Tribolium castaneum: one gene and its partner. The protein of the gene in region 1 binds, or shares a complex with, the protein of each later gene. Links are inferred from orthologs where the notes say so. Each region holds a gene or a part of one and is shown on either strand. Other genes may lie near its edges. The genes, in order: PolA1 and Prim1.

Evidence for each region.
Region 2: PolA1 (region 1) and Prim1 share a complex: the UniProt entries of both Drosophila melanogaster proteins name them as parts of the alpha DNA polymerase complex. The link is inferred for Tribolium castaneum from reciprocal best matches to the Drosophila melanogaster genes PolA1 and Prim1.

Annotation. Positions count from the first base shown.
Region 1 is NC_087398.1:9,854,884-9,871,576, reverse strand, and holds PolA1 (DNA polymerase alpha catalytic subunit), read right to left. Parts: upstream 7,108-16,693; 5' UTR 6,971-7,107; coding exon 6,955-6,970; intron 6,900-6,954; coding exon 6,702-6,899; intron 6,650-6,701; coding exon 6,468-6,649; intron 6,417-6,467; coding exon 5,147-6,416; intron 3,160-5,146; coding exon 814-3,159; intron 765-813; coding exon 556-764; 3' UTR 473-555; downstream 1-472. Other genes in the region: NADH dehydrogenase [ubiquinone] 1 alpha subcomplex assembly factor 3, read right to left, coding at 7,338-7,677, 7,725-7,783, 7,834-7,960, 8,013-8,065; zinc finger protein ZFP2, read right to left, coding at 8,311-8,732, 8,971-9,101, 9,155-9,549, 9,668-9,825, 9,878-10,247, 10,299-10,445; gustatory receptor for sugar taste 64f, read right to left, coding at 12,047-12,145, 12,197-12,286, 12,330-12,492, 12,546-12,817, 12,872-13,026, 13,072-13,257, 13,309-13,606; gustatory receptor for sugar taste 64f-like, read right to left, coding at 14,163-14,258, 14,310-14,475, 14,519-14,673, 14,720-14,845, 14,895-15,037, 15,089-15,274, 15,681-15,915; gustatory receptor for sugar taste 64e-like, read right to left, coding at 15,965-16,063, 16,119-16,208, 16,253-16,415, 16,462-16,616, 16,665-16,693. UniProt on the Drosophila melanogaster protein: Catalytic subunit of the DNA polymerase alpha complex (also known as the alpha DNA polymerase-primase complex) which plays an essential role in the initiation of DNA synthesis.
Region 2 is NC_087395.1:25,577,237-25,593,705, reverse strand, and holds Prim1 (DNA primase small subunit), read left to right. Parts: upstream 1-8,378; 5' UTR 8,379-8,525; coding exon 8,526-8,628; intron 8,629-8,672; coding exon 8,673-9,198; intron 9,199-9,252; coding exon 9,253-9,666; intron 9,667-10,075; coding exon 10,076-10,269; intron 10,270-10,323; coding exon 10,324-10,343; 3' UTR 10,344-10,402; downstream 10,403-16,469. Other genes in the region: aldo-keto reductase family 1 member B1, read left to right, coding at 6,776-6,808, 6,860-7,000, 7,049-7,420, 7,613-7,860, 7,908-8,168, 8,219-8,258; uncharacterized protein LOC659605, read right to left, coding at 10,413-11,781, 11,830-12,082, 12,129-12,282; uncharacterized protein LOC659544, read right to left, coding at 14,014-15,499. UniProt on the Drosophila melanogaster protein: Catalytic subunit of the DNA primase complex and component of the DNA polymerase alpha complex (also known as the alpha DNA polymerase-primase complex) which play an essential role in the initiation of DNA synthesis.

The DNA of each region.
Region 1 (16,693 bases):
ATTAATAATTAATACAATAATAAGAAGTTAGAATCACAAATAAAATGGTAATTGTTACGGAGACTATAATTTAGGAGACGAAATGAGACTTTGTGAACCAAAAAATAGTACGGCAAATGAGTAAAAATGAGGCGCTTCGAGCATCAAACCGTTTCGGCGCCAAAACGATTTAAATTAACTTAAATCCAATCAATTCACTAATTAATTACATGGTGAAAATGCAAAAAAAACAAAAAACTAAAATTTTCAGACAAAAACATGAGAAAATTTAAAATTTGCCCTTCGTTCTGTATTTTTCAATACGCGTATGGTTAAAGATATACAAGAAAAAAGGCTTCACGCTTTTCAATTACTTCGGGGATTTCTTGGGAGCTAGGTCATAGATTAACTAGGTGCTGCCACAAAAAAAAGCTGGAAATGCCACCGCAGAATGACTACAAATGATTTAAAGGTAGGTTTTTTAAGCAACGAATTTTTACGCCAGATTTGTAATTTACTTAACTACGAGTACATAAATAACGCAACATTTATAATTCCAATGTACAATAATAAAAATCACTCATCTTCCAACATCAAATTAAGCAGACTTTCTTCCATCGCAAAATCTGGAATTTCCTCATCCTCCTGTTCCTTTTTCCTGTGTTCGCACCAAGCAAACATATTTTCCATCTTAACGGTCGAAAAGCCACAAAACTCGTAACGCCTTTCTACAGTTTCCTTTATTTCATGGTAAGCTTTCTCGACTTGAAGCTCCAGCGATGGCACTGAAAACAGAAAATCAATTTCGAACTCATCTCACCCTCAACCACTCACTTTTACTCAATTTAGTCAAATCGAAAATGTATTGGAAATACGTAATCTGCGTGAACAGACTCAAACCCGAATATTTCTTGATCAAGACTGAGTTACAAACTTGACAAAAGGGAACCCGTCCTGACGAGCTCAACGGAATCCTCACAGTTTCCTTGCAACACATCGGATCCTCACAGTACATTTCGTTCAAATAAAACTTCTCGATGTAGGAATTTATCGTTTCGGTCATTTGATTTTGGATAAAGGGGACGTAATCGGCCGGCCTGGCCTTACAGCGCGCATTCTGACACTTTTGTAAAACCGGAATATTGTTAGAAAATGGACCATCAACGGTGTTTTCGCTCTCACAAACCAAACATTTAAATACAAACTTGTCGACGTTCCGGAACTTTATTTCCGGATCTATTACGTTCTCTCCGTTGTCATCGTCCACCTTTACTTTTCTCAAATTGCTGCTATCGACCCCGAGACAATCGGATATTTGCACAAGGTCCAACGCTTCAATGGGTTCGCAAATGCGGCTCACCACCGGATGAATCTGATTAGCGAGGTAGTAAGTAACGTCGATTTTGAGCGTTTCTGAATTTTTCAATTCCTCAATGTGGTAAGCGCGTTGCGTGGCCGGATTTTTCGTCCCATCGTCACAGATCAGATAAGGGACGGTGTCCCCAGCCCGATAGTGCCCCCCTTGCTTGTTGTATCTGATAGCCACTTGGACGTGTGGTAACGTGTTGTCCTCCGGGTACTGGTCGGGGTTTTTCGACAATTGTTTGGTGATCACAAGGAGGGAAAGTGGCACTTTACCCTCTTGTAGATCCTCCCGAAGTTGGCTCAAATGAGTCAAAATATTCAGGAAGCGATTTTCGCTGCTTTGGTCACTTAGAATTTGGTTGAGGACAAATTTCCCCGCTTCGGCCGCAAGTCTCGACCAATCACGTCTCACTATGTCCAAGCCTTTGTACTCAATATCGGTTTTCAAGCGGCCCTCCTTGTCCTTACTTAGAGTCACAGCAGCGTATTTCTTCTTCTTGAGTAACAGTAAGTATTTGAAGACACCGTCAATGTCGAGCTCGACTTGCCGGTACAGCTTATTGATCTCTTGCTTGATTTTGGTGCCGATTTGCGCGACTTGGTCGAAGTCCACTAAGTTTGTGTTTATCATAAGACTGTCGGTGTCGCCGTAAATCACCTCAAAGTTCAGTCTTTCGACCACTTCCTTTGTGTTTGTTAAAATCTCGCGGCCTTTGTGGGTGATTAACGCGGCCAGATTTTTGGCGTAAAATCGCGAATTGGCAAAACCTAGACACCCGTACATGCTGTTGGCGGTGAGCTTTAGGGCCATTTGTCTTATGTCGTATTGCATTCTCTGGTCGGGGCTCAAGTCCGCGCTTTTCATCAGCTTTTTGACTGCGCGCCGACTTTCCACCAACTTTTTTATCTCAGTTGGGAGGACTCCAGCCGGGAGAGTTGCATCGGGTAGTACCATGTTGTCCTCGGCTAGGTTCGGCGGCATTGTGGTGAAGCAAATGTTGTACTCTTGGATGATGCTGGGGTACAGCGAATTGAAGTCCATTAGCAGGATGAATTTGTCGTAGAAGCCGATTTTCGGGTCGAGGACCAAGCCGCCCGAATAGGTCGCCTTTTTGTTGGCCGTTTTCTCGCCGAAGTCTTTCTTCCCCGACGATTTATCTGGGACAATGTAATTTTTTTCGGAGAAGGCGTGGAGGAGGAGAAATTCGTTGCGTTCTGACCGCCCCCCCATCAAAGTCTTCGACATGACGTTGCCCGCAATGGTCGTAATCTGCAGCGCTAAGGGGATGATGTTCAGACTGTACATGATTTTGAGGACGAACGCTGTGTCCTGCATGGTCAAGGACACAAGTTTGAGGAGTTCCTCTTTGCTTCTGAACATTTTGAGCACATCGTCGGGCTCCAAATCGGTTCGTTGTTCGTCCTTGATTTTCAAAACGGCCTGGCACAAGCTCCCCAAATCGTACGATCGACATCTGATCAATTCCTTCGCTGCGGTTTTGACATCGCAAACGAGTCGGCCGACGAATAGTTCTTTTTCGATTTTGTGCCGTGAAAACGTGGATTTTTTTATGCGGCCCAATTTACTGAAGTTTGGGATTTTATGACGGAACATTCGTTCGGCAAGGACGCTTATTTGGTGGCCTTGTAGGTCGTGACCGACCACTATATCGCTGTCTAGTTTCGAAAATTGTGTGATGAAGTAGTTCAAAAGGGCCTTTTCCGAGTGCATTTTTTGCAAAGTTGTTATCTTGCAGTCTTGCATCACAGTGAAGAGGTCAGATGAAAGGACTTGGGTGTCCGGACAGTAAAAAACTGAAATTGGAAATTAGATACAGTGGATGGAGCAGACTAGATTTGATTTAAAGTGTGATGCAATTTGCCGCTTATAACGAACTTTTGACCAAAGTATTTGATAGTTGTGTAGACTGAGCCGTTCCTATACGTATGAATTTAATTAATTTCAAATTTGAAAAAAAGACAATAGGGAAAAAGATGCATATTGCAATCAATAACAATGCATTTATTTTGTTTTATTTTTTTTGTGCTCCATAGTGGAAAATAAATGTTAAATTTTTAAATCACATACAATGTGATGTGAAGTGCACATTTAATTAATTTAATTTAATTAAATAAAAAATGTTTTAAAACAAGAAGCGACATTTTAAGAAACAATTATTATAATATTTTTCTTCGTCTGTCCAAAAAATGGTATAATAATGGTGTAATTTTTTAGCCGAACTATAATAACTTTATATTGTACTTTTTTGTCTATGACAAAATTCGATTCTTCTGTTCTCAGCTTCGTACATCGTTTTGCGGCTTATTTGTAACGTGAAACACTAAAAAATTTTGAAGTCAAAGTATTTACACATTCCCTAAATGCTACATTATAATCAGTAGCATCAAAATTAATTGCTTTTTCTGTAAATTCTCGAATATTTTTAGTACGTGGTATATCAAGAGCTTATGTAATAATCCTGTTATTAATTATATGAATGAATTATTCTATAAAATGTAGTAATTTTGGTATAAAACGAGAAAAGAACGGTAATATTGTTGACTATAGACTACTTTTATTTCATTTTTAATAAATTAGATCAGTTATTATGTATTTATTAAAAACCCATTCAAGAAAATATAATTTTTTTTGCAACAACTTAACCGGTAGAGGATAAAATATGTCAACCAATTTTTTTCTTCTTTGACACAGAGAATTAGAATTACTTTATTCGAAAGTTTACATAATGATTAGGCAGTGACATTTAAGTGAATGAAATTTGGTGGTATCTTTGCCAAAAAAAATCAATACAATTTTTTTTATAATTTTTTATGAGGGGACTCATGTTTCTGAGGCTGTGTTTGTAAATTTTAATTCAATTTAAAAGATATTAAAGAACTAAGCTTAATTAAAATTTCATATTTGTTTAAAAGTTTTGTTAATTCCAAATTTATTCGCGGACCAAAACTCTAAGGGAAAATAGCCTATATTGTATTACTTCAATTGTACCTTTGCGAATTTTTAAAGAACAAGTGCTTATATTAACCTTTCAAGATTGTAATTATCACCGGCAGAAAATAATTAGACAGTGTATTCTATTTTAAAGCCGTAGCTATAAATTTTATTGTGTTATTAACGAAAGAACAAATTTTGGACTTAACAATGAAAGCCTGCTCCAGTTTTTCCTAAGGGTTTTTGCGCTGTTATTTCAAATAATGTACAATGCATATTAATAATCTATCAGTTACAATAGTTTAGCGTCCTTTTACCTATACATTATACAAAATCATTTTTAACTTTACCATTTAAGCTGTAATCTCTTTTATTTGTTTTCAGTTTCGAAAAATGTATCACTGCTTGGTTTCCTAAATTATCGCGTTGTTATTCTATGGCGATCATTGCAAAAGTGTCTAATTTTGTTATTTATAACATTCCAAGTTTCTCTCCAGGAGAGAGTTGAAAGATTATTTATTTGTTTATAATTGATTTAACACTAACACATGTTATTTGCATTAAAATGTACACCTCATTTAGATATATCTCCAGTTAAAAAATATATTTCTTCAAATTAACGAAAAAATTAAAAGTATTAAACATATCAACCTACCAAAGAACATTTTTTTCATGAATCATATAAAGTATTTTTCTCAGAATTTGCCAAAAAACAATTTCACTTCTTTTGAGCTCTACTATCAACTTACAAAATTTGCACAACTATGTTGTTTCGCAAAAGATTCATATCGTCAGATGATAAATTTTCTGAGTTGCACTGTATTGAAAAAATTTATCGGACAAACTTACCACAGCAGTGCTTTTGGAACGCTTCAGTAGGTGCTTGTTTATCAACGGAATAACTAACATTAGTGACAAGACTCAACATCACGATTTCGTTTAATCCCGTCTTGGGATTGAAAGCTCTTCTCATGTTAAGAGCAGTGACGACCAACGGTGGCGGTTCAATCGCCTCCTCACATATTGTAACATCGGTTAATTTGTCACAATTTACTTGCAATTTGCACCAAGTCGAGGGATTCGATTCCGGTATCGGATTCGCGATATTTAACCAACAGGGCCCTTTAATTTTACGATCGAGTAAAAAAATCTCGAGATATGAACTCTCGCTCCCAAAAACACGCGAAAACGTCCGCCCTTTGGTGGTTTTATCAATTGGGGGATCTGTGGCCGCATATCTAACTTCGACATAGTCCGATTCTGACGGAACTTCAAGATCGAAAGCGTACTTTTTCGTGACGGGTCGAGCTTTGAAATTTTTGATTCCTTTGGTTTTCATCAGTTCGTTGATTTCGGCGTAGACGTCCTGAGACGTGACCGGCTTTTTGGACTTTTCCTCTTCCACTCTGGGTAAGAAAAAAATCCGCCGGTCGATGTTACGGATAATTACGGTACAGCTCACGTGGGTTTTCGTTTGAGTGTGGTAGGTTTTGCCGAATAAAACCACAACACCCGGTTTGATAAATGGGTCTTCGTAAGCGTCCCACCAAAAAAATCTGAAAACGCTTTTGTCGTCGATTTTCACGAGAGGAATGTCGGAGTTTTGCAAGTCGATTGTGGTTTCGGTGTCTTGGGATACGGACCATTCTTTCAACATTTCGCTTTCAATATTTTCCCACAAATCTTGCTTTTCTTCAATTTGGGGTTTGGATTGCTCTGCTTCAGACTCTTCTAGTTGGGACAGATCCAAATCGTCATCAAAACAGCCATCAGATTGAGTTTCAGCAACTTCTTCACAACTCGCTTGAGTTTCTGCAATTTCTTCACAACTCGCTTGAGTTATTTCTGGCTCCAGTTTATTTTCCGTTAAAATCGTTTCTTCAGTCGGCTTTGCGTGATTTTCCTCCGTTGATATCTTAAGTGGTTGTTTCGCTTTCGGTGTTCTGCTGAGAGTTATTACTGGTTTTTTGATGGAAGTTAATTTCCTCATGTAATCTTTTTCAGCTTGTTTTACCGACAGTGGGGAAAAATTCGATGTTGCGGCCTTGGATTCACGTGGAGTTTCATTAATTTCTTGTAAAAGTTCCGCCAAATCATCATCCTGATCCAACTTTTTTTCCTAAACACACATTAAGCTATATTACGTTTTGATCGTAAAAAATTAACAGACCTCTTTCTTTTTTGATGGCATATTCGAAATGAGGTATTGTAAGTTCCCGCGACCTGCATTTTCCGCCACATTTTTCTTACGTTTAACCCCCTTATTTTTCTTGGAAGAAGCTGCAGCTATTGAAGCATGATCCAAATCATCATCAAATATATCCCGACCGTCTTCTACATAGCCACTGCCGTCTGTTAAACGAATTACTATTAAAATCTGAAGTGTTTTAACATAAAAAAATACCATCATCAACGATCCAGTCGTCATCCTGACGATCTAACACTTTTTTGGTGTATTCTTTCTCATCAACAGTGTCGTAAACATTTTCGAGTTCTTCGACTTCGTATTTATTTCGGAGGCCACTTTTCAATTGCTTAAATTTCTCGAAAGCTTTAGCTTTGTAAGAGGAGTCCCGCTTTTGCCTCTTGGGCCTTCTTTCGGCTAAAACGAAAGATGCGCTTAGTTTTTAACTAAATATTATTTACTTGTGACTCACAGGTATCGTCTTCCATTATCACTATTAGAAAAACACTACAAACAACTATTTACTGGTTTTTAGAAAAATAAAAAATTCACATTGACTTGGCGGGAAAACTTTAATTCTAACCTCACAAACGTGATAGATGATAGTAGTGTTTTATTTGTTTTTATGTTGGCTGACATATTTACAGAATTAAATTTTTTTAGTTTATCTACTGGTGTTTATCTTAAAAATAGTTCATGCGGGAAAAGTTTATGAAACCTTTAATCCAAATAAAAACTTGTTGGGACAATTTCTGTGAAAATTAATTGAAAAAACATAGGTATCTAGTGCTGGCATCACTGCTCATTTAGGCGGTTTCTTTCAAAAAAAAAAAAAACTAATTCGGCAAAATTCCTTTATTCTCTTTCGTACAAATTCTGGTATCTTAATTTGGTTTGCAGCACATCATCCTCAGTGGTAACGACAGTTTGTGGTGGTATTAGCGCACCAGCTACATGTCTTCCTTCAGAACTTAAAAAATTAAACGTTGCACAAGCTTGTTCCGTAGGAAGAATTTCAAATGTTAATTTGTGTTTGCGTGCAAACGGTACAATTTTTTTATAGAAACTGAAATCTTTTTGTGGATCTCCTATTCCTAAAACAATTATATCTAATTTGGGTTCTAATATGGTAAATAACGAAAGTGATTCATCTGTAATTTCGTTGATGTCGCCAACATTCCATGAAAGAACTGATCTAAAAAAACGTTGGTATAATTGTGTTCGATAACACGTTACGTATACTTTGGAAATATTACAACGGAGCCTAAAATCGTCAAATCGTTATTTAATCTAAAACCCGCCTAGAAATTAAACAATCAGTTTGTAATTACGCCACGGAATTGAATAATACTTGACTGAAGCCGTTTATCATTAATCCCACCTCGTCCTCATTGTTTAATATGTTTACGGTTGTTTTTCCTTCACCTTCGTAAGCCCCCGGTGGAGCGCTTAATTTTTTACTGCCGTACAAAAAACGTCTAAAACCGAAAAAGCGTCACAAGACGGTTAATTACCTGAGGTTTTATTAACCTAATCGTATGATTTGTTGCTAATTTGAACAAACTGACGCTTTGTTTAAACATTTTTCTGGAAATCAGAGGTTATGTAATTTGAACATCTGATAAAATTTTGGCGGGAAAATTAAAAAAGTCAGTTGTTATTAAAATTGCATTTATTTAGGCAGTACATAATAATATTTCACCAACATAGTCCCAAGTTATTAAATACGTGTTCCTATGTGTATAACTACTAAATAGACGCTACTTTATACAATATAATCTCACTGAAATGTAAAGTTTAGTAAATAAATAAATAAAGTTTAGGTACGCTATGAATGCGTTTTCATGTGCGTGGATAGGGGCCCGGTTTGCGAAAAAGCTTTATTACAAATATTGCAAGTGTACGGTTTTTCCCCGGTGTGTATTCTAAGGTGTACTTTTAAAGTTGAAGCCTGATAAAAGCCTTTTTTGCAAAAAGGACAAATATGGTTTCTATCCCCAGTGTGAGTTTTTATATGAATGCGTAAATCTTCGCTTCGTGGAAATGCCTTTGGACATAGATTGCACTGGTATGGCTTTTCGCCAGTATGTATTCTTCTGTGTTTTTTTAATTGAGACGAACTGACACAACCACGGCCACAAACGCTACAAACGTAAGGCTTTTCGCCGCTGTGTGATCGCACATGGACTGTGAGTCTCGACGGATCAGGAAAACCTTTACCACATTCGTTGCAAACGTAAGGACGCTCACCTAAAAACAGACACAATGGACAAATAATATTTGCAATTGCACAAGAGAGGAAATTCACTTTGCTTCTGTGAAAAATGTGTATATTATTTTTGCAACTCGCTTTATAGAAAATGATATTTTACTCCCTAATTCCTAAAAATCTCTCTAGGGAGGTAAAGATATATTTTGCACCTTTAGACTAGAGAGCAAAATATCATTTTCTATGAAGCGAGGTGGAAATAAATGCAAGTAAACCAACCTGTGTGCGTCCTTTTATGTATGGTCAGATTACTCGGTGTGGTAAAACCTTTGCCACAGTAAGGACAAATGTGGTCTTTAACGCCCGTGTGAGTCTTCATATGCATTGCAAGAGAACCAGAACCACACAACCTATAATTTTTTTTTCGTAAATTAAAGTATTATTTTTACACATGGTTTGCTACCTTTTGCCACAAACCCCACAAGCGTGGCTTTTTATGCCACTATGTGTCTTATTATGCGCCGCCAAACTCGTATAACGTGAAAAGGCTTTGCCACAAACTGAACAAATGAAACTTTTTTCGTTCGCATGCGCCCTCATATGCTCCAACAGACGAAAAGATTGAGCAAACGATTTGCCGCATAATTTACAAGGAAAAGGCTTTTCACCAGTGTGTGTTCTTATATGTCTTGTAAGATCATCCGATCTCGCAAAACCTTTGCCACACTCACTACACAAATGCCGTTTTGCGCCATCATGTACTTTCATGTGTCGACACAAAGTGCTCGCACTTGCGAAACCTTGATTACAGATTTTACAAATGTGTCTGCTAATTTTCGGATGTGTTTTAGCATGGGCCTGCAATTTTTTTTTTGAGAATTTTTACTGAAATAGTTGAAACACAGCTTCCTTGATCAGTGAAGACAGATTTCAATGTAGCTCCTTCATTGATCAAGGGACTGGTTTGCAAAATAACCTTCAAATCGATCATTGTAGTGAAACACTGAGTGCATTCCTCACATGGATAAATCGGTTGTTCAGTGTCGTCTCTAATTTTCTTTTTCTTTGATTCTCTTTTAGCTCTCAGTTCGTTTATTTTGCTTTCGGCATCGCTACCACACGAATCTGGATCAACTGACAAAAATGTGAATAAAGTACTTAACAAACATAAGTTTCTTCTACTTACTTCCTAACACGTCATTGTCCACAAACTCCAGTTTCATTTTCATGTCTTGGGACCCTTCCGACTTGAAAGAATCCCCAACGTCTATGCTATTCACTGTTGCAACTGCGCTACTAAAAGCCTCATTTACGGAATCTGTTACGGCCTGTATATTTTCCGTGACGGTATTTATAACATCGTTAAATGAAGGTTCGTGTTGATCACTAGACAATAATGGTTTTAATTCCATAAAAGTGGCCTGCATGGGTTTGCCTAGGAGTTGCCGCAACGTTGCATCTGATCTCTCGCATAATTGTTTAAATGAAAAAGCACGAGTTATGTAATGAACACATTGTAAACAAACTTGGTTGGGCAATCCGTCGTTTTCCAAAACCTACAGAGAAACATTGAAAATGGGGCACAAGGGGGACCACCTTTGATTTACCTGCACTGCAGCACAAGACATTAACATTTCAAACAAACGCATTGTTTCGCCGATAGATTCGTCAATGCTAAATACCGAACGCATGTCACCTTCTTCCGAAAGGCAGGTTCTACATATCTTTTCGATTTGGAGTGTTTCGAAAGACATTTTTAAAAAATCGTTTGTTTATTAATTTAGGTTATTTCGATGATTGGCAGACATGTTGCGCACAGCATAAACCAAAGAAAGCGTGTTATGTAACCAGTTATACACTAGCGTTGTAAATAATTAAAAAAATTGTTGCAAAATACTGTTAAAAAAAAGGGGGTCAAATTGCTTATAATACTTAAAAGTTATGTTTTATAAAAAGTATTTTGAGTTGCATTTTTACCCAGTCAGGCGCAAAACATTATACGAATAACTTTGTACATACATACAGATGGTCCACAAGTAATGTGCATAAATTTTTTTTTGTAGCAAGCGTAGATTACGTGGACAGTAAAATATATGGTTTCAATTAATCAAATATTCAATTAATTAAACATTATATAAAACATACTGTCTAGTTTGTAATGTTAATTTATTTAAAAAGTTTGTGTTAAAATATCTGCAAAAGACGGTCAGTATCTAGGGCCTGATGGCCTAGTGGCATAAGCGCCACTTTCGACGGGGTAAGTCGGGGGTTCAAACCCGGATCAGGTGTAACAATTTTTCTATGAAAAAAAGTATAGAAAAGGTAAGGAAACAACACGTAAACAGAAATAAGAGGTCGAGAGAACACATAGACGTATAAACGTAAAGCGGAGCATAAAACTGAGAGAAATCAGAAAATAATGCGGCAAAAATGTAAATGTACCTAAAGGCGCCAAATTGTAAACGTACTATTTGTTTTGAGAAAAAAAGAGATGAACGTAAAGGTGAAATATAACTTCAAACTTTAGTTGACTTATACGCTCGGTATCTTTTGATGGAATCTGGTGAAAAATTAGAGAATTAAATTGAAAAAAGTGGAAAAAAATGTTTTCTCGAGCTAATTCGCCGACATTTAAACTAAAAGTATTAGCCATTTATGTGAATTATTGCAATTATTTAGTTTGTAATGTTGATTTATTTAAAAAGTTTGTGTTAAAATATCTGCAAAAGACGGTCAGTACTTGGGGTCTCGTGGCCTAGCGGCATAAGCGCCACTTTCGACGGGGGAAGCCGGGGGTTCGAACCCGGATCAGGTGTAACAATTTTTCCATGAAAAAAAGTATAGAAAAGGTAAGGAAACAACACGTAAACAGAAATAAGAGGTTGAGAGAACACACAGACGTATAAACGTATAGCGGAGCATAAAACTGACAGAAATAAGAAAATAATGCGGCAAAAGGTAAAAGTACGTAAAGACGCAAAATTATAAACGAAAGAGCACATCCTAACAAAGGGAAAATACCTTTTGTTTGGAGAGAAAAAGAGATGAGCGTAAAGGTAAATCATAACTTCAAACTTTTGCGTTGAATTCTTAGATGACTTACTTCTTAAATTATAAAAGAAATAAAACGAAAATATTTAATTTATCTCTAAAAATTTTTAGTTAACTGATTTTGTTTAGTAAAGTCCCGAAAAACATTGTTAATAAAAATCATGGCCACTGCGAATCCAGTAAACGGAAGAGCACATCCTAATAAACGGAAATACCTTTTGTTTTGAGAGAGAGAGATGAACATAAAGGTAAAACATAACTTCATTAACTGTATTTATTATCTTCCAAAAATTGATACAATAATTCACATAAAACAATCTGTGGATCTGTGGTTGATGTTGGTATTTATTAATGGTCCAAACTGGAGGAACATTAGTTCAAAAGTTACAATCGTTGAGGCCATCTGCAAAATAAATGCAGTGTTTCTTAAACATCAACAAAAACGTATTCATACCTTTAAAAGAAAATTTCTGGTTAGTATGAAAAATTTTGAGCCTGTTATTCCCACAGGACTGGAATTAATTTGTTGAATAAAACGACTAATCTAAAACTGAAAGGTAAAATTGGCCAAATTTGTTATTTTATACCTCTTCACAATAATGTTCCGAAGGAACCGAATGAAGAATTTCGAGTGGTTTTCTGCTTTCGTCGTTAATCCAAGCTCCGTAAAGTGTAACAGCGATTGTTCTAGCTACCAGAAATCCAAAAGAGAAAAAATAGTAAACTGTTTCGACGGTACCGACACGAATTCTAAAATATTGTTGTCAAGCTTTTGATCAAATTTTGCAAAAGCAGAATCTTACTTTAGGCTGTTGTAAAGCTGGACGCATATAAAAAATGCATTGCTAACAAACGAAATTACGACTAAAGCAGCGATATTTCTGTCAACAACTGCCGTCAAATGTGCGAGTTTGTTATAATCTTCTCTAATTTCTCTCCAGAATTTTTCGTGCAACAGTTTATTATTCTTGAGACGGTGATTGATTTGAGCAAAACGTGAGGCGAGTGAGCAACTTATTAAAATAATAAATAAATCAGTGTAATTCCAAGTTGCAGTTGATAAAATGTTAGCAATCTGCAATAGAAATTCGTGTGTTTCCTAAACCTTGAATATTTTTTAACGTCTTACTTCAACAAAACATGCTTTCCAAAGAGAATAATCAATAAGCGTGAAAACTGAAGGAAACGCCACACGGAAATACATTTCGTCTCCACTATACAAAGTAGCATTTTCGCAACTTTGACTTGTTATAAAGGCGTTTGCAATAAATAAAAGGTGTTCCACTGGAAAAACTTTATAAACACTTGAATTGAAACAGTAGGGGTTACCTAAAGCTAATGTCATAATCACTGAAGTCATAACAACAAATCTTTTCTTCATATTAATCGAAGAACCGTAATTTCTCATAGACATTTCCATAAAAGACCATTCCTTCATAATGGTCACCCAATGTTTGCTAATTATGATAAATTGGATGCTTCCAAAAAAATTGAGGACGTAAAAGGACATCGTCGCTACGGGATAATAAAAATGTACAAAATCAAAAACGTTTGAGACACAAATACCTGTCTTGTCTAACATCAGCCCATCCAACGCAAATTTCAAAATACAGAAAAGTCCCATAACAAAAGCGCCAAAGATATTGTAGACGGCATAAACAAATCGAAATGATTTCCACTCCAGTCGGATTTCTTGCACGTTTTTTCTGCTGACTCCATGCAGAGGCATAATGCCGAAAAACTGGCCGAAAATTACAACAAACGAGAATGTTTGGTGGAAGCTGGGTTGAGGATACGCTAAAACAGCATCTGAAGCTTCGATAGTGAGAACTAAATCTGATTTCATCTTTCTTATTAAACGCATTTTTACACAAAGTGGAAGCTCAACTGGGAGAAATTACATGATTGTGGGCTTTTTCCCTGGATTTGTTTGTTGACTAATGTTATCGCAATATCGGCCAAAAGCGAAAAATTATTTTTAATATCGTTACTATCCACCTACAAATGTTGACAAAGGGTTTGTTGAAAGGATTTCGTTCGCAAACTGCAATGGAATTACATTTTTATTGATTTGTGCCAACTGTTCAAGCATAAGGAGAAACAAATACACAAACAGGGAAATAATTGATCCTAATAATAATTTACTGATACAGCGCACGTATCAAAAGATAGATCATTTTATCATAATCATAATTAACACCTGTTGGTTTCCCTTTAGTTGTTTTCGAAACAAGTTGCACTTGTGATCTCACAATCTTGTTTGCTATTTTTTCATTTCTGTAATTTACTTTGAGATAAATATTAGATTAATTTATTCAATAAGAAACAGCTTCATTTGATTGAATTAAAAATAATTCGTATGTTACGATGCTTCCAGCCATCTAAAACAAGCAGTTAGTTTTTACCGTAAATTGAAATTATCATACGCTGAATAAAAGTCCTCTTGTGATTGTAAAATAGTCATTTCCGGTAAGAGCAACCGGTTGAGAGTGAATTTGAAACGCGAATCTTTCAACCTGTGGATTAAAAAATTATAAATTGGTGCGTGTAAAAATTATGTTTGTTACTTCCGAGTTGTAAATGTCCGAACTTAATGAGAGAAGATAATTCATCGATTTCTTGCTCTCGTCGTTAATATTTGATGCAAAGAGAGTCACGGCGATTGTTCGTAAAACCAAGAGACCAAAGGAAAATGAAAAGTAAATGCTTTCAACCGGTGTTGTTTTGACAATGCTAAAATTTGCGTTAACTTAACTGTGTTTTATTCTTGATTTACCTAAGGCTCCAGTAGAGCTGAGACATTATGAAAAACATGTTTGTGCCAAAGGACACTATAATAAGAGTGCTTATTTTTTTGTTAACTGTTTTGCACAAAATTGAGATTTGATTGTAGTCTTCTCTTAGCTTTACCCAATGATGTTTCAAGTGTATCTGAAGCAGCAAAATAAATCAATTGTTAAATGTTTTGTAGCTGTACTTTTTCGTTATGTGCGACTATGACTTTTGCAGTGACTTGGCGAAATTTTTCGGTGAGAGCAATGCTTATAATTATCAAAAATGCATCCAAAAAGTTCCACACAAAAACGTTACAAAGGTTCATTACCTACAAATAAATCAGTTAACTTCTTCAGATTACCATGATTAATTTATACCACAGCGAAAATAGCTAGAGGGACCGAGAACTCAAAAAAATTGAACAAATGAGGATAAGTGTTCAGAAAGTAAGTTGTGTATTTGTCCTCAACTTCTGACGGAATTTGGGAGCAAGTGTTGACTATTGATAAAATATGTTCGACTGTAACAACACAAGTAGATAATTAAATTTTTTTTTAAAATTAGTGACTACCTGCAGCCGCTGACATTATCGTGCAAATTGTTAAATAAAATTTTCTTTTCAAAGACTTGTCATTTTTCCAATTATCAAGCGCCATTTCCACACGACTCCATTTCTCAATGAGTTGTGGCCAACTTTTGGCCAAATTGAAAAATATGATTCCTTCAATCGCGCTGTTTGCGTTAAAAATAAAGCTGCCTGGAATTAAACCAATCAACCCAACAATTTACATTTTTGTCGAAATTACTTAAACGGTGCAAGTTGAAGCCGAGATCAATATTTGTGTACAAAGAAGTGAACATTAAAAAACTCGACCCCAGAATTACAATTAACGACATTGCCACTCGTTTCGAACGCCATGAAAAAAATACTTCGTCTAATTTATTGCCAAGTCTAACAGGCAAGAGCCCAAAAATTTGGGCAAGAAAAATAATGCCTTGAATATCCCTTTGGAATTGCGGTAAGTTAGCCTCAAACATGTTTTTGAATCAACAAGCTTTTACTATCCTTATTTAAACCGACGTTTGATTTTATCACTTTGTTGACGCATCACGTAAATAATTTATGTTGTTATTGACTTATTGGCCAATTTATTTAGACTTACCAAAGGTGGTGAGATTGTACCCCGAATTAAGAATTCTATAAAACGACGTTGTGGTCATGAAAATGGACCCGGAGATGATGATTTTCGAGTAAAAAACTTTCTTCGAGTACCAACTGAACGTTAAATTGCATTTTTCTGAAGTGACACCGTTGACCGGCAGAAGACCAAAAGTCTGGCCGAGCAACAGGATCCATTTAACGCGGTGATGAAATAAGTCATTAGACAGAACCTTCATTATGCTACTTATGGTTTTATTTGGGTGAAATTTACATTAAAGGAGTATTTTAAAAGCAGATTGTTTCGTTAGCTTGCATGTACTTATTGAGCGTAGCTTGGTTGAACTGGATCAACACCAATTCGTAAGTTATAATAGCCGCTGCCACCTTGAAAAAACACTCTTGTCAACATTTTTACATGTTTACCCAGGAAAAGACATACACTTAAGACCAGGCCTTTAGTAAGGCGAAAAAAATTGTGGCCGGTCAATGCAGCTGAATCGATATGTGTTTGTGTAACTAATCGCTGAATCTGGAAATTATATTTTTACACGATTTGGAAATAACACAACAAACCTCTTCGTTGTAATGCTCTGTTGGAAGGGACGTAAGATAGGATAAAGCAGCTTGGCTTTCTTCGTTAATAAATGCGCCAAAAATCGAAACAAAAACGATCCTCATTATTACAAAACCGAAAGAGTAGAAGAAGTAAATGCTTTCACCGGCCGATTTCATTTGCCTGCGATTTTAATTACAAATTTGTGTTTAATATCTGATATACTTACCGCAAACTGTTGAATAATTGTATCAGAATAAATGTTAGATTACAAGAATACGACAGCAAAACTAAATTGGATAAAATTTGGTCTAGATAACGTACGATGTTGGTCAGATGGTCGTAATCTTCGCGAATTTGTCGCCAGAACTGGTAATCAGCTTTCTATAAATTGCTATTATTTGGATTGTTTGGAAGAAATAAACAATTTACAGAAAAATCCGAGTGATATACTTTAATAA
Region 2 (16,469 bases), on another chromosome or scaffold:
TCAAATCTGATATTCTGATCAAGAGGTATTTTAAAATTTTAATATTTGTTCAAAAACGTAATATATTGAGTAAAAGAACACTCGAGAGTTTTTATTTCAATTTATAACGAAAGAAAAAACAGAGCAAATTTGATGCTAAATGGATATTTTTTTACATTTTTTAAACATTTTGTGTTTTAGAAAGACACGAGAAATTGTAGAATATCGACTAATTAATTCTTATTTATTATGAATTTATAATTAATAAATTGTAGATAAAGTTTTGAAAGAAATCACAAGCATAGGAAGAAAGTATTTAACAGCAAACGCTGATTTTGTGCGACGATTAGTTTCTGAAATACTTACAGCAGACTCACCTTGTATGTGACGTTAGCAAGAAACTACCAAAATATCAATGTTTGGAAAGTGTTCAATTCAGCGCAATTTGAAACATATAATTATTTGTTTACAATAAAAAACACGAACATTTCTGTTTCTTGTTACAAGATTGTAGTTTCATTGTAAAAAATAAACACATTTTTTTACATCTCGCCCGACATCAATTCTTGTTAGCAAAATGTTTTTTTGTGCCTTTAGTCAGCTTGGGCTCTTTTAGAGAAAAATTGTTTAATTTCTGCCCTTTCACGGAGACGGGTTTAACTGCTATTCCAAAGTTCACGCTCGCGTGCCTCCAAAAATTGAAAGTTAATATCCCCGCAAAAAAAACTAGAAATACCAATCCGGGCATCAATATCCTGCTGGTTGAAACAATCCAATGATTTTGATTTAAACTCGATCGAATTAACAAGACTTAAAAATCGTATGCTAGTGGGAATAAAATGAATATTTACCCAATGAGTAAAAATAGTTCACAATGATATTTTATCGGTTTACTTAAAGCGTGGTGTCAGTAAAATTCAATTAAAAATAGGCCAGCAAGGCCGTCTAATTGTTTCTCTCCTCAAGTGCACTTTTCGCTGCATAAGTAAGAGAGTAATTGCCGAAGACGCGGTCGAAATTGCTTTTTAAAGCCGGAAATATCTCATTCTAAGCCGAGCCGAATTGAATTAATTCGCCGGCCCGAAAGCAAAAACGTCCAACAACCACCTGTAGAAATTCGATCAAAGGGAGATTTTGGAGGTGATAGTGAGTCGACGACGGTTTGTGATACTCACACTTTCGCCACTTGAACGGTTTTTGAAATTTTGCGAACAGCATAACGCGCACAACGAAAGCTTCCTTTTAAGACCGCAGTGGTGGTAGAACTGCGACGCTGTCGACGCTCAGGACGCGAACTGGACCAACTTTATGCGTACTCTCGGTGCGTCCGGAGCCGCCGGAGTCGGCCTTAATGATGTTTTTACAAACGCTAAGACAACCACACGATCTTTTTCGGGGCTTAGAAAGCTGCCAGCAGTGTGATTAGCTGACATCAATTAATCATAATTAAAAAAAAAGTTATGCAACTTGGCTGACTTTGAATTGTCTAACTTTAAATACCCAAAAATCTAAAACAACAATGTCTTATTTTATTTAAGATACATTTTTTTATTAATTTCGACTACAGGAAAAATAAAAACGTAGTTTTTTGCAATAAATTTTATTACGTTATGCAACGAGCGTATGCGAGTTGCATAACTAGACACCCGAGAACTTTAAGCTTTTTTTTTTGGAACATTTTAATTTAAAACACACGTTGCTATGAGAAGCGTGTTTTAAGATAGTGAAAACATTAATGTAAACACGTTGCCATGGGAAACGTGTTTTAAAATAGTGAAAACATATTGGTATTTTTATTTTCAGTAGATTTTTATTTTCAAAATTTTTTGTATAGTTTATCATTAACTAATTTTTTCACAACTGCTGGAGTGCATTTTACAAAAATTTGTACTTTTTTTATGAGTTTAATTGCTTCAATGAGTGCCAAGTTTACTAGTTACTAAAATTTCATGTTCTTCGTCCTGTTTTTATTAAACTAGAACGAAAAAATCATTAACTTTTGTCGAAAATGACCAAAAAATTTATCTTTTCTAAGTGTATATTTAGCTAAAACTTAATTATTGCGCAAAATTTCTTAAAAAGTGAGTCAATAAATCAGAATTGTGTCAAAAATGACATTATTTTTGCAAGTTCTGAGGACTGAAACACTTTTTTGAACCAAAAGTCCAATTAATTTTTCTTGGAGTAATTGTAATCTTTCGATTTTGTAATTTCTCTTGGTCATTGGAGAAAAGTCGAAACTACGAAACCTTAATTCAAATGGCCGTCTTTCCCTGTCGCTTGTTGACTATTGTTGAACAAATTAATGTGTTTTAATTTGAATTTTTCTTTGAATAATTTATTAGACAAGCACATTACCTCGCTATTAACAAGTAATAATAACCGTTTCCAGATGCTAATTTGAGTAAAAGCATCGCGTCATAATTTTTTCCCCGACGAATAAAAACACAAGTTGTAATTTTATTAAAGAACCCATAGAGAGAAAGAGGTAAACACAAAGTTGCTTCATATTTGAATTAAATTAAAACGGCGCTATGTTTTCATTTGGGTTTAATCTCGCAACATGTAGCCTGAATCAAACTTTATTACAATTTGAAAAATTAACGTGAAACTATTATCCTGCCGGAAGCGAGGTCCTTTACCTTGTCACTTTTTCGCTCCCTCAACCCAATTCATTTACTTAACTCCCTTAACATAGAGTGCACAAAGCTGAATATATAAGAGCATTTAATTTTCTCATTAAGATAGAGCAGTAAGAGCTAAATTAATAAGCTCCACTTATCCGAGTCGATTCAAGACATGCGCACCTAAATAAATTATAAACTAACACAACTAACGATGTAACAAAATACGGAAAGAAAACATGACCTCGTTTCCAATTCTGAAAACTGAAATCCGAGGCGTGATTGATATTGTTTCGGAAGAAAAATTTAGGCTTTTTTAATAGTTGAATCCACGATTTCGAGCCTCAATAAGTGAAAAAACAGGTCAAAACAGATGAAAGAACTTGACAAATCCTTGAGCGTCCTTGTGAGGAAGATATGTATTATGTCGTTTGATTTAGGAGTCGCAAGGGGCGTGCTTTATGGAAATGATCCCGAAATGTCATTGCGAATTTATAACATTTGGAGGCGACGGTTGCGAATTTACATACTGCAAGCATTTTGATTAAGTCTTTTCAAGCTTTAATCACCGACCACCGAAAAAATAAATCGGATCAATTGTGTGATGTGTTCATTGAAAGCGAGCGGAGAGAAAAAGTTAAAGAATTTCGTGTTTGAATAATAGAAAAAAGGGTCTTGGGACGAGAAAGGAAAGCGGGATAAAACAGAGCTTAATTGGAGTAACACTTTAATGAATTTTTTACGCGACAGGACAATGGCAGCAGGGGCGGACTCGCCCAGGCTTGATTTTTATGTACACAAGGATTGCAACGGGACCATTGCCAATTTGAGCCAAATTTCGGTGCTTTTTACTTTTTAAGTTTAAAAAGTTGGGAAAAATATAAAATGAGAGGTGTGGATTTTTTTTAAGGTAAAAAAATAACTCAAAAATAAGAAGTCGTAGAGTAAAATCGTCTTTTAAACTTACTGCAGTAAAGTTTTATGGACTTTTATATGTCCTAACAACCCACTAGAATTGTTAAAAGTCCAAAAAAGTGACATTTGTTCGCTTTTTTGATGTTTGGTTTTTTCAATTTTTGTCGCGATTTTGGTTGATTTCGGGTACCCGGAACATTTATCGAGCAATAACTCCGAAACTATTAGAGATAACCCTATGAAGTGTATCATCGTTGGAAAGCTCTTTACATTATCTATTTTTTCCAAAAAAGATTATTGTTCTCCGACTAATAGTTTTCGAGAAAATTGCAGATAAATGCAAAAATTGGTGAAATTTAAAAAAATTCATAACCAAAAAACTATTGGGAATTTGGCAATTTTGTCAATGCCAATCGATTCCCCGGATCATTTTGCAATGGTAGGGATTAAAATCGTTTCACTTTTTTGAATAGTTTAGCTGTAATTGAGAAAATAAAAAAAATAAAAAAAAAGTTAACACTAAAATCGATGAATTTTTTAAAATACATTTTAATATAAAATTGTCTGGGAAATCCGTCTGTGCAAACTGTTTTGTCCTCGAACGATTGGTTACCGAGTTATGAATTCTTTAAGATTAAAATAAAGTTTGACAAGAGCATTAAAAAATCGATTTTGGGAGCTTCTGAAGCGATTTTCCTTTGGAAGCATTACGTTAAATTAAATTTACTCCCGGAAATAAATAAATATCGATACTAAATGTATTTACTCCGCGAAAAAATCCCGCAAATTGGGTTAAATGAAGCAAGTTAATTACGCGCTCACTCCTAATAAACTCGTAAATTCCTGCTGGAAAAGCACTAACGGTTGGTGACAGGTGCACTTAGTAATTTTTAATCGATTCTCCTCTAAAATTACGGAAAACAATGACCATATTCAAGTCTAATTTAATCTTATCAAAGAAATGAGACTCCTTTAGAAGCGAATCTTCCAATTAGACATAACTAGACGTTGTTTCTTGCATTGTGATGAGCTGAATTGTAATTAAATTTTTCAAGTGTTCCTTTGTTCCAACTTTTCGCGAAAAAAAAAAACCTAATTGAAGTAATTAACTGTGATTAAATCGGGCCCCAACAATTTAGTGTCACACTTTTAACTTGACCCAAAAACCCGGAAAATCCCTGACCTTGCTATCAATTCCGGGACGTCTCGTCCAAACAAAGATCACGTGTTCGTTCCATCCCAATTCCCCGTTTCCACTGTCGCATTATTTAATCCCTCGAGCCACCAGCGAGCAAATTAACAAAGTCACTTGGACGCACTCAACGAAACTGAGATTTGAACGTTAGCTAAGTGTTTATCTGCTGACCCTCCATGACTTAATTTGTTTTCGGCTATAAACTGATTTAATCGGCGACCCATGCCTTGTTGTGCAATTTTCCAATTCGAGAAAATTTCAAACAATTTCACTATAATTACTAGTTGCTAAACAAAAGTAAAAGTTGCAAGTGGGCCGCTATTGTGAAAAGAATCGCTCGCTGCGGGTTAATCTAATTTCGCCCATAACTCGGACCCAATCAATAGTCTGCAAACTTGTAATAGATGTAATCGGCAAGGGACTCGCTTTCTGAGACATTTTTCTGCAAAATTGCCAAGTTTTTAATGCGGCTCTTGTGTAATTATGCCACATTAGGTGGAATGCTCAAAGTTTTTAAGAGGTTTCCGGATGTGTAAACACTGAAATAGGGCGTAATCTCAACTTTAAATTACTTCTATTGTAAGTGACTTTTATCTAATGTTTTCCAGTCGGAAGTTTCGCCATATGAACAGAATGAGGACATCGGAGGTATTATATTATTTAACGACCAAGTCCCCAATTGTATTTTTTGTTATTTTAACTCTTTGAGGACGTTTGAGAATTTTTACAAAATGATTGGTAATGCGTTAAAACGAAAAAAAAAAAGACTGTTTCCGCCCGGGATCGAACCGGGGACCTTGTGCGTGTGAAGCACACGTGATAACCACTACACTACGAAAACATATCTTCTACACTCACAATCACTGATTATACGTTAAATTTTTATTAATTGTTTTCTATTTTAGTTTTACAAAAATAAAGCTTAGTTCTATTGTGTTCGTTTGGTCGTAAATGTTAATTTTGGCTCAAGGCAAATTTTTACATTTACATTTACCATTCGCTTGATGCAAGAGGATTCGTAATAAATTGGAATTTTACTTGGCTGAATTTAAATCAAAATTTCCAAATTGATTAAAGGTTATTCATTTTGCCACTCTTATCTTAATTAAATTGTATAATTTATTTCTTACTTATTTCCAAATCGTAAGAAAAAAATTTATCATTTCCACAAGTGCTGAAAGGTAAATTACTGAAACTAATTAATTTTATCTTTGCTATAATTAATTTGATTGAATTTATAATTACATAAACATGATTTATTTAAAATAAGTCAAGGTCAAATGTGCATTATCAGTTGCATCCGATAAATAAAAATAATACAAAAACTTTTTTTGTTAATGTCGGCCACTATTAATTCACTCTTGCATCGCTGGTTGCGTGTCATAGTAATAATTTACTCGTTTTTGCCTTTAAAGCTCTTTATTAATAGTGCAAAAACACTTATTACATTATTTGATGGTGTGTTTTTTAGCCTATTGTTACAACAATTATTTTTTTTTATTTTTGGCTAAAATTATGATGGTCACGTCAAAAAATATTTTTCTTTTGCTGTAGTAAAGAAAACTTCTAGAGTTTTTAAAATTGTAAGAATACGTTAAGAAGTTTTATTTAAAAAAAAAACTGTTTCAACTTTTGTAATAATTTTGATCGATTTCCGGTACCCGGAACATTTATCGAGTTATAACCCTGGAACTATTGGACGCAACTTTATTGAGTTTATTATCGTTGGAAAGCTCTTTTAATTATCTATCTTTTTCTCGGACATTGCTCATAAAAACAAAAATTGGTGAAAATAAAAAAATCTAAAAAATTATTTGGTATTTTGCGTTTTTTTTGACGCCAGTTAATTTTTTAGATCATTTTACAAAAATAGTTTTACTTTTTTGAATAGTTTAGCTGTAATTGAAAAAATATAAAGAGAGTGTCTCCGAAGAATTTAATTTCTGGTCGACTGTACTTATAACTGGTTGCATAACCTCCACCTTATGTAATAACATAAACACGGAAGAGCCAATAAAACCTTTCAGCTGTTATTTTTTCAAGGTTTTTCTAATTTATTCTCATGTTGAACAAACTCACGAGTGGTCTAAGACTGGTACTTTTCCGTGAGTAAATCTCCGTTTTTTTTTAATGTCTGTCGTTGTAGCTTCGCATTTTTAACAAAATTCTTGACAATACTTGTCAGCAATTCCATTCTGCGTTATTTTATACAAAAATGGGCTCGCAACTGTATTTGAAGCTCCCAAGTGGGCAAAAACTGCCGGCTTTGGGCCTAGGGACTTGGGAGGTGGGTTATTGGCATCAAATTTTTTTTATTTCATTTTTTATCAATCAGGCGATAAGCGATGAAGAAATCGAAACTGCGGTCAACAACGCCCTAGATTTAGACTATCGGCACATTGACACAGCTTGGGTTTATGAAAATGAGGCGGCGATTGGGAAAGTGTTGAAAAAACGCTTTGCTTCCGGCTTGAAAAGACAGGACGTTTTTATTACGACTAAACTTCCGATGACGGGGGTTCACCCAGACAGGGTTGACATGTTTATAAAAAAGTCATTGACGAATTTGCAATTGGATTACGTCGATTTGTACTTGATTCATTTCCCCGTTGGTTGTACTTATTACGAGGGGGAAGCACGGCCCAGATTTAACGATAAAGGGGAGATTGAGACTGAGGGAAAGACCGACCACGTCGCCCTGTGGAAGGTTTGAAAAAAAATAACTTAACACAAAAAACGCTTTATCAATTACCGAATTACCACCGTTTTACCAGAATAAAATAGTGGGCTATTTGATGCGCTCACTCGCTATTGCTCGTTCGTGCTTTAAACAGTATTAATTATGAACGAATTAACACAACTTGTAGCTATTTTTTGCCCATTGTTGTAAATTTTGTAGAAAATGGAAGAGCAGGTTGATGCCGGAAGGGCCAAAAATATCGGTTTATCAAACTACAACATTTCTCAAATTGAAACCGTGCTAAAAAACGCAAAAATTAAACCCGCCGCACTTCAAGTCGAACTCCACGTCTATTTGCAACAACGCGAACTTGTAGAATTTTGTCAAAAAAACGGAATTGCTGTTATTGCCTACTCTCCTTTGGGGAATCCCGGCATGAACAAGTTTTTGCAAAAAATGGGCCAACAGTACGATTTTTGCGCCCTTTTTTTCATTTCTAGACACTTTTTTGCAGACCCAGACAGTTGGCAAATATTTTGGAAGATGCAAAAATTAGTGAGATTGCAAAAAAACACAAAAAAACACCAGCTCAAGTGGCGTTACGTTTCTTGATTCAGAGGGGCATTGCGGTTATTCCTAAAAGTGTAACGCCGAAACGAATCGATGAAAATCGAAAATTGTTCGATTTTGTGTTGAGTGACGATGAGATGAAAACTTTGTATGGTTTAAATGTGGGGGAGGCGGCCAGAGTTTGCGATTTTAAGGTCTTTGGAGGGTAAAGAATAATCACAGAGTCAGTTTTTAGCCTTACTTTGGTTATTTTAGACTTGATAAACACCCCGATTTCCCGTTCGCACAAAAATGAGCTTTTTTAATTGAAACATTACAATGTGACCGGATGTTGGTTGCATAACCCATGATATAAAATGATTATGTTGTATTTTACCCTTTACTTAATAAATAATCAAATAAATAGCAAATTCATGTTTTTACACACTGATGATATCGATCATTATGCAACGAAATTTAAATAAAAAAATAAATGACGTAATGTTGGTTGCATAAGCTCGCAACCAATTGCGACACAACCTCACTTTTTTTGGCGGGAAAAGTTGTCACTGTGTTTTGCGTGATGAGTGCCTCTTTGTACAATGAAGACAGCCTCCCTGACCTGCTCCCCATCTACTACAAGCGTCTGTTCCCCCATACAGCGCTCCACAAATGGCTTTGCTACGGTAAGTTGCCTCCAAGCTCGATTTTGGTCAAGTGAGCCCCTCAGGTGACCCCAACGTGTCCAACCGGCGCGAAATTTCGTTCACTCTAGTCGGAGACATTTACCTCCGTTACCAGAGTTTCGAAAATGCGGAGGACTTTGCCCAAGCGCTCCATAAACGCTTCCCGGTTAAAATCGATATTGGGGCTATTTACAAGCAGCGACTTGAGTCGTCTGGAAGTTACTCTAGCTCCAAAACACCAGTCGAGCGAGAGATTGTGTTTGATATCGATATGACTGATTATGATGATGTTCGGACTTGTTGTACGGGAGCTGGGGTGTGCCCCAAATGCTGGAAGTTTATGGTGATTGCGTGCAAGATTTTGGATGGGGCTTTACGGGAGGACTTCGGTTTTGAGAACATTTTATGGGTGTTTTCGGGTCGGAGAGGCATCCATTGTTGGGTGGCTGATAAAAAGGCCCGGATCTTGGATGATAATCAACGGTCGGCTATTGCTGAATATTTGACTTTGTTGCGAGGGGGCCTTGTGGTACGAAAAGTCAAGTTTTTCAACATGCATGCGGCCACTGAGTAATTATCTCCTCATTTTTGCTCCCAAGTTGTGTAATAATTGGTTAATTCAAGGAGGGCCTTAAAAGTCATTGATGAATATTTCGAAAAGTCGATTCTTGTCGAACAGGACATTTTAGGGACTTATGAGCGCTTGGACGCTTTTTTGGGCAACATTGACGAGGGTTTTAGTCCTTTGTTTCGAGACGCAATGACCAAAGTTCAGACTTCGGTCGAGCGCTGGAAGGCTTTTGTTAACACTTTTCAGACGTTACAAAGAGAGCAAAAAATACCAAAACACTACAGATACATGGTTGAGGAGATGAAATTTTACTATGCGTATCCGCGACTTGATATCAACGTCACCAAAAGCTTAAATCACTTGCTGAAAGCGCCGTTTTGCATTCACCCGAAAAGTGGCAAAGTTTCGGTGCCTTTTAAGCCCAAATTCATCGAGCATTTTGACCCAGATGCCGTACCCACAGTCAGGTAATTAACTGCCCGACACTGAAAATGTACCACTTTGAATACTATACAAGTGTTGCTGTTATACTTCTGCCCGAAACTGTGTCTTATTTTTTCACATTTTTTGCCCGATTTTTTACGGAAATATACAGGGTCTCTTTTTTGAGGCTGGCGAATATTTGTTTAAGTAATTTTGATTATAAAAGAATACATACATAGAAAAAAAAAATGGTTTCTGAGTGATTATTAGTGTTTGAGGTACAGTAAAAATGCACTAACTCTGTATAAAAAGTGGCACATTTTTTCCGGTGTGCAGTTTAGTATTCACAGAGCATTTTGCTTTCTTAACAAACACCGAGAAAAATGGTTTCTGAGTGATTATAAGAAGTGGCACATTTTGTGTGGCGTGCAGTTTATTCAGGAAGCATTTTAGCCAACTCTTGGACGAGATAAACACCTACGATGCCAAAACCAAAGCTCAGGAGAAAGATTTAGCGGAAAATTCCCAAACCAGTGTTAAAATAAAAGACTACAAGAAGACAAGTTTACTCAAATATGTTACAATTTTTTGCGAGTTTTTAAGAGGCTTGCAGGCTTCAGCTGCCCGAAACAGGGCCATAAAAAATGGTGATTTTTATTGCCTTGATGTAACGAACACAAATTAATTGTTTGAATTTCCAGGAACTGTAATGGAATATTAATTAGTTTACGTTTTTTATTACTCATTGTTACTGATTACGAAATAAATGAACATTTATAATTTTATCGTTTTATTTACCCTTACACACACAATATTTTTTCAAAAACGAATCACTAACACACCTAACAATGGCAAAATCTAGCCTTTTAATTTCACCATCGAGCTCAAAAACCTTATCAACATACGTAACAAACGCCTCAAAAACTGAATAGGGGTACGTTTGGACACTTATTAGTAATTTCTTGTAACCCGAACTCCAGGAAGCACTGGAACTTAACACTTTCCTCAACTCGTAACTCCGACACATTCGCTGATCAACAAACTCATTTACTTTATTCACAATAAAAAGTGAGGCGTTCCTCACAACTAAATCGTCAAGATTCGTCAAAACGAACCCATCACAGGGACAAGACCTATTCTCAATTTCCGAATCCAGACACGACTTTTCCGTAACATCCATAAAAAGCGACTCACACCTCGGACAACTCTGACTAGGTTTCGGGTCCTGATTCACCTGAGTCAGCACCATAATGTCTTGCAAAGTCATGTACAGATCAAACGGAGTGGTTAACTCGTTTTGCTTAAGTTTCAAAAACCTGAACTCTTCGGAATAAATCTCTTGGAATTTTTTCGGGACTAGAACATAAACGAAAGGCAGTTTTTCCTCCAACCAGCCCACATTTGTAAACTCGTTTTTCCCCTCACGCCTCCCTTGATCGCTCAGGAAGAACACGAACGTGTTCGCGAACACGCCTTTCCGGTTCAGGTGCCGGAAAAGTGCCCGGATCGAGTAGTCCAGCTTCGGGAAGGTTCCCACAGTTGCCGTTTTGATCCAGAAAAGGGCGAAACTTGGGTGGTTTTTGAACGTGACACTAAAGTCTTTGGCCAGGTCCAGGAGGCGTTCAAAGGGCGTTTCGCGGTCTGGACACGGGAACATTTTATTGAGTTCCACGGTTGGGTATTTTTCGTTTGCGATAAAATAGGGCCGGAAGTAGTAATCTGTGAGTTGTTTGTGGAAGGTGAAAGTTTTTGACCACACGTCATCTTCACCGAACGCTGTGGTGTAGTTGTATTTTTCGAACTCGGACCAAATTAAATCACACTCCATGGTTTTGCAACCGCTTAAAAGGGCCAAAATGTTGGTGAAAGTGTCGTCACTCACTTTCGCGTAGCCGTTCAAAGAAACCCACTTATTGTTCGACGTTAGATAATGACGGGTTTTTGGAAAATTCCGGATGAAACTTAGGCGCGAAATCTTGTCGATTCCTAGAATCAAGACACTGAAAGGTGGTGGCCAAATGTCGGAATTTTTGGTCGTTTTTTTGGCCGTGATCGCAGCATGGACTTGTTTGTATTGTACCGAACCAGTGTCACACTTGACCAAGACGAAGTCAGTGGCCAAAGTCACATTTTTCGTAAACTTCCGACATTTGGAAATTCTACAAAATTAATTAATTAAAAATTTGCCCCATTAACAAATTTCTTACTTGATGGTATCGTCGGGATTTACTCGGTCAAAGTTTCGTGAAATGTTCGAATAACAGCAGGAAACTTCGGGGTAAAACCCATTTTGTTGCTTGACGTGCAGAGTGGCCGTATTTTCGCTTTTTGTCACAAAAGTGAGGTAGTTTTTTCGGTTGCACGGTGTGTATTTCTTGGGGATTGAGTACATGAATTGTTGGAAATACATTTGGGAGAAGTCCGGAATCAAACACTTGTTGTTAGAGACAAGTGCTGGGACTGCAATTTTGTTTAGTAGTTGGAGAAATGCAGGCACTTTTCTTACTCGGAACGTGGTGTTTGGCGTCTTCGATATGTATCAGAGATATTGTGGTGGTGGTTCTGTTGTAGAAAAATAAGGGGGTGAAGCACATTAGGGAGATACTAGCCACCAGGAATATTTCAAACACAATTTTGTTTTTGTGGATTCGGAGAGGCATTTTGACGAGCTTTGACGTCGCAAGTAATGCGATTTTATTCGTAGTTGTCAGGGTTTTCTGTCTCTAAGGGAAAAATCGAAAAAAATCAACATTCAACTATTTTCAACTTTATCATTTATTTTAGAAATTAGAGTTCAAGTGTAGAAATGAGGCGTCCAGAATCGAAGTTTTTAATTTCTGGTTACAATCTTTTCGACTTTTTCGTAGAAAGTTAAAGTACCGACGTTATCGGCGTGAAAACATGACACCTTGAAGATAGTCTAGATCTTATGATTAATTATTTTGATAAAATGTAATTTTCACACAGTTATTACGGCGAAATTAGATAAGTTGGGACTAAACATCCGGCGGATTAATTATTTTTTCGATTATTTCTTATAATTTAGCAGAATCTATAAGATTGCATCCGTTTGGAAAATTTTGATTATTTTTAAACTATTTGTTTTATCAGCGGCAATGGCAATCCTAATTGTTACTCATTAGCGTGTTATAAAACAATTCGCATAGAACACAACGTCCCTTTTTCGCATTTATGGACCCGGAAATAATGAGCAAACAGTTTCCCAATCGGCATTTTCAACAGAAGCAATTGAGAAATTTGTGGAAAACCTTTGATAATTCTAGCAAATTAACAACAATAACATTCGAAAAGTCCACAAAACTTCAGCTTGAACTTATTAGTAGCAATTTTCGCATTTTTGGAAATATTATTTACTTGCCTGCAATGTGAGCACAATTCACTCTCGCAACTCCACTTGTATTAATCATTAAAATCACGCAAAATATAACACGAAAGTAATAAACATTGAATGTTTTGGATTTTTCTGTAAACTAGATTAGTAAAAAATGTTGTTTCCGACAGGCTAGTTCGGTCTATTTGACTGAAAACTTTAATGTCATGACTATGTGACCGAGTCAAATTTTTGCGAATTATTTTTTTGATAACAATTAAAAAAAATTGTTATGTCAAATAATAATTTTGAGACATCGCACGTAATGCGGTTTATTTCTGCATTCTTTGCGAACATTGTATGTTACAAGTTTTTGACATCGCCAAACAAATATTTTTGAATCAGTATTTTTTCCAAACAAACCAAACGATTTCCTATACAGTGAAACCTCTATTAACGGACAGCTCTATACAAGCGACATTTTTGTAGGAATGTAACTAATCCTAATTAAAATTTTCACCCCGATTAGCGGACACCTCTCCACAACGGACAATTAAAGGTTCCCCATCGGTGTCCGTTGTTGAGAGGTTTTACTGTATAGTTAACTCAAGTTTGTAATTTTTTACACATGTTTAAGCTTTCAGATAAGTAAAAAATTACGCTATTATCGACATAATTTCGGGATTTTTGGTTAATTTTTTAAAAATTTTGAGACATCGTAATGCGATTTATTTCTGCATTTTTTTCGAACATTGTATGTTACGAGTTTTTGGCATCGCCAAACAAATATTTTTGGATCAGTGTTTTTCCCAAGAAAACCACTGCTATTTTTATAATTTAGTTTGAAATGAAACACGAAATAAATAGAAGTGCATATTTATTGACACAAAAGACTAAACTGATATAAAATACCCCTCCTAAAATAACGACATCGATTACAATAACGCATTGACTAGAAAATCTTTATTGTACCAAATGCAAAGTATCACAATTTTTTGATTTCTCCACTCGCGCCCGTCTGAGCAAACTTTGGCACCGTTGAAAAATAGGCACTTGACCACTACCGACAGTAACAGAACATCTTCAGATAGGCCTCCTCCACACACCTACTGTGCTCAGCGTACTTATCCAGGCGACTTATCCCTCCAGTCAGCTCAAACTGCGCCTCGCCTTTCCACAGCACCGTCGCTTCGAAAACCGCCCTGGGCCTCGTCTCCATCACCACCAGAAAATAAACATCACTCTTGTAACTAAACCGTTCGGAAACCCTCGCCGTAATAATCCTCCCTACGGAAAATTTGGCACACTTTGAAGCCCCATTTCTGGCGCGGATTCTCTCCTCAATTTGGCCGACAACGAATTTGGCAGCGTTTTGAACGGTTTGGTTGGTTTTTGGCACCGGGTTATAACCGCCACACGTGCACCAATGCGGCTCGATGGCTGCGTCTTCGCACGATCTCTCCGACTCGGTTTGTGCGAAAAGTGAGGCGCATTTCGGACACCCATCGCTCGGTTTCTGCGTGTAGTTGAGTCCTGAGAGCACCAGGATATGTTGCAGGGTCCTGTAGATGTCGTAGGGAGTGGTCAAGTGGTCGCGCTTCGTCTCCAGGTTTCGGAACTCGGACGGGAATTGGCGCTTGAAGCGGTCGGGAACCGATATGTAGATAAACGGGAGGCGTTCCTCCAACCACCCGGTGTGCGTGTACCGTATTTCCCCGAACCTGATCCCGTGGTCGCTCAGGAAGAAGATGATGGTGTTGTCTAGCACGCCTTTGGCGGCGATGTCCTCCAGGAAGTCGCGGATTTTTCGGTCCATTCCTGAGGGCAGGTTGAGGTCGTTATGACTGAAAGTGTTCGTCCAGAAGAAGGAGAAACTTGCCACGTCTTTGAAACTTTCAGAAAAGTCTTTAGCTATGTTCAAGACGCGTTCACCGGCTGTTTCAGGGCCGGTACAGTAAGCCATTCCGTCCCTTCGTACCGCTTTGAGTCTCTCGGAACCTAGCATATAGGGCCGGAAATAATAATCAGTCGGTGGTTTCGTAAACCCTTTCTTCTTGTAATTAAAAGTGCTGATCGGAGCCTCGTCCTCTGCATATCCAGTCACATAGTTCAACTTCTGGTAGTCGAACCACATCATGGGACACTTGTCCATCTGGCCCAAGCTGCTAGGGTTGCACACCCTGTAGGTTTTGCTCTCGTTGAAGCCGGTCATGATCGCCATGACGTTCGGGAACGTGTTATCGCCCATTTTGTTGTAACCTCGTAAGGGAATCCACGCGTTCTCTTCGAGGTATTGATACGTTTGTGGTAAAGCTCGTATAAAATTTAAGCGTGATATGCTGTCGATTCCGACGAATAAAACACTGAATGGACTCGTTGCACTTGTGTTCATTGACGTGATTTTGGCTTTGATTTGCTTTGTTTGGGTTATTGCCGCGTGGGTGTTCTCGTAGATTTGCTTCTTTGTTTTCAAGTCGATGCATTTCACCATGATGAAGTCGTGGGTTAGGGTGGTGTTGTCCGTGAAATCTTTACAAGCCGATATTCTGAAAAAATAAACATTGAAGTTTGTCTAATTTCATGTTGCAATTAATTTTGTGTTTGATAGTTGGATAGCTCGAAAAATTAATATTTTTTATTAATTGTATTTTTATTTATTTATATTTATTATTTTCTGGGTAATAGAAAATGGCAATATAATGTTTTCAACCCACTTGTTTATTGAGTTTTGTACTTGAAAACGTGCTTTAGCTTTCGAAGCAGACAAAAATTACATCAACTGACTTTTTTAAACCATTTCAGCAATGAATTTATGTCTTTGCATATCAGAATTCAAAAGCGCCAATTTTGGCTCAATCCGACAATTTTTTTAATAATTTCGAAAAAAATCATTTGAATAAAAAATTTGCTTAAACGCTCGAAAAACGGCAAAATAACATTTTCGATCCAATTCGGCAATTTTTCAGCATATTTTTGACGGAATATCATCAAATAATTTGTTGAATCCTGATGTTCTCACTTATTTAAAACGTGCAAAATAATGTAATATTTACGACCCAATTTTGTGTTTTTGTGTAGTCTGTCAAAAAAACACAGTTTTAAGCTTAAAAACGTGCTTAAGACAAAAATTTGTTTATGTTTAAGCAAATTTTTCGGTTTATTTTAAACGTGTTAAGCCATTGAAGAAGTTAAAAAGGTTCATTTATCCATTTGGCGACTTTTTGGGTATTAAATGCTCAAAGAACACAAAATTTGCATTTTTCTGCCAAAATCCAGCTTTTTCGGTTAACTTTAGCGAACTCTACCGAAAAAAAAAACGAATTTTAAGTCTAAAAATGTTCTGAAAAAAGCAAGAATTACAATTTTTTTTTACAAGTCTGATGTTTAATTTTGTCAAAATTAAGTAACAAGTTCAGTAATTGTTCTGGTCGTGGTTAGCTGTGGTTTTCTCCTAACATGAACGTATGTTGCGTGATAAGTTCACATGGTTTGCTGTCAACTGTTTAAATGTTGTCT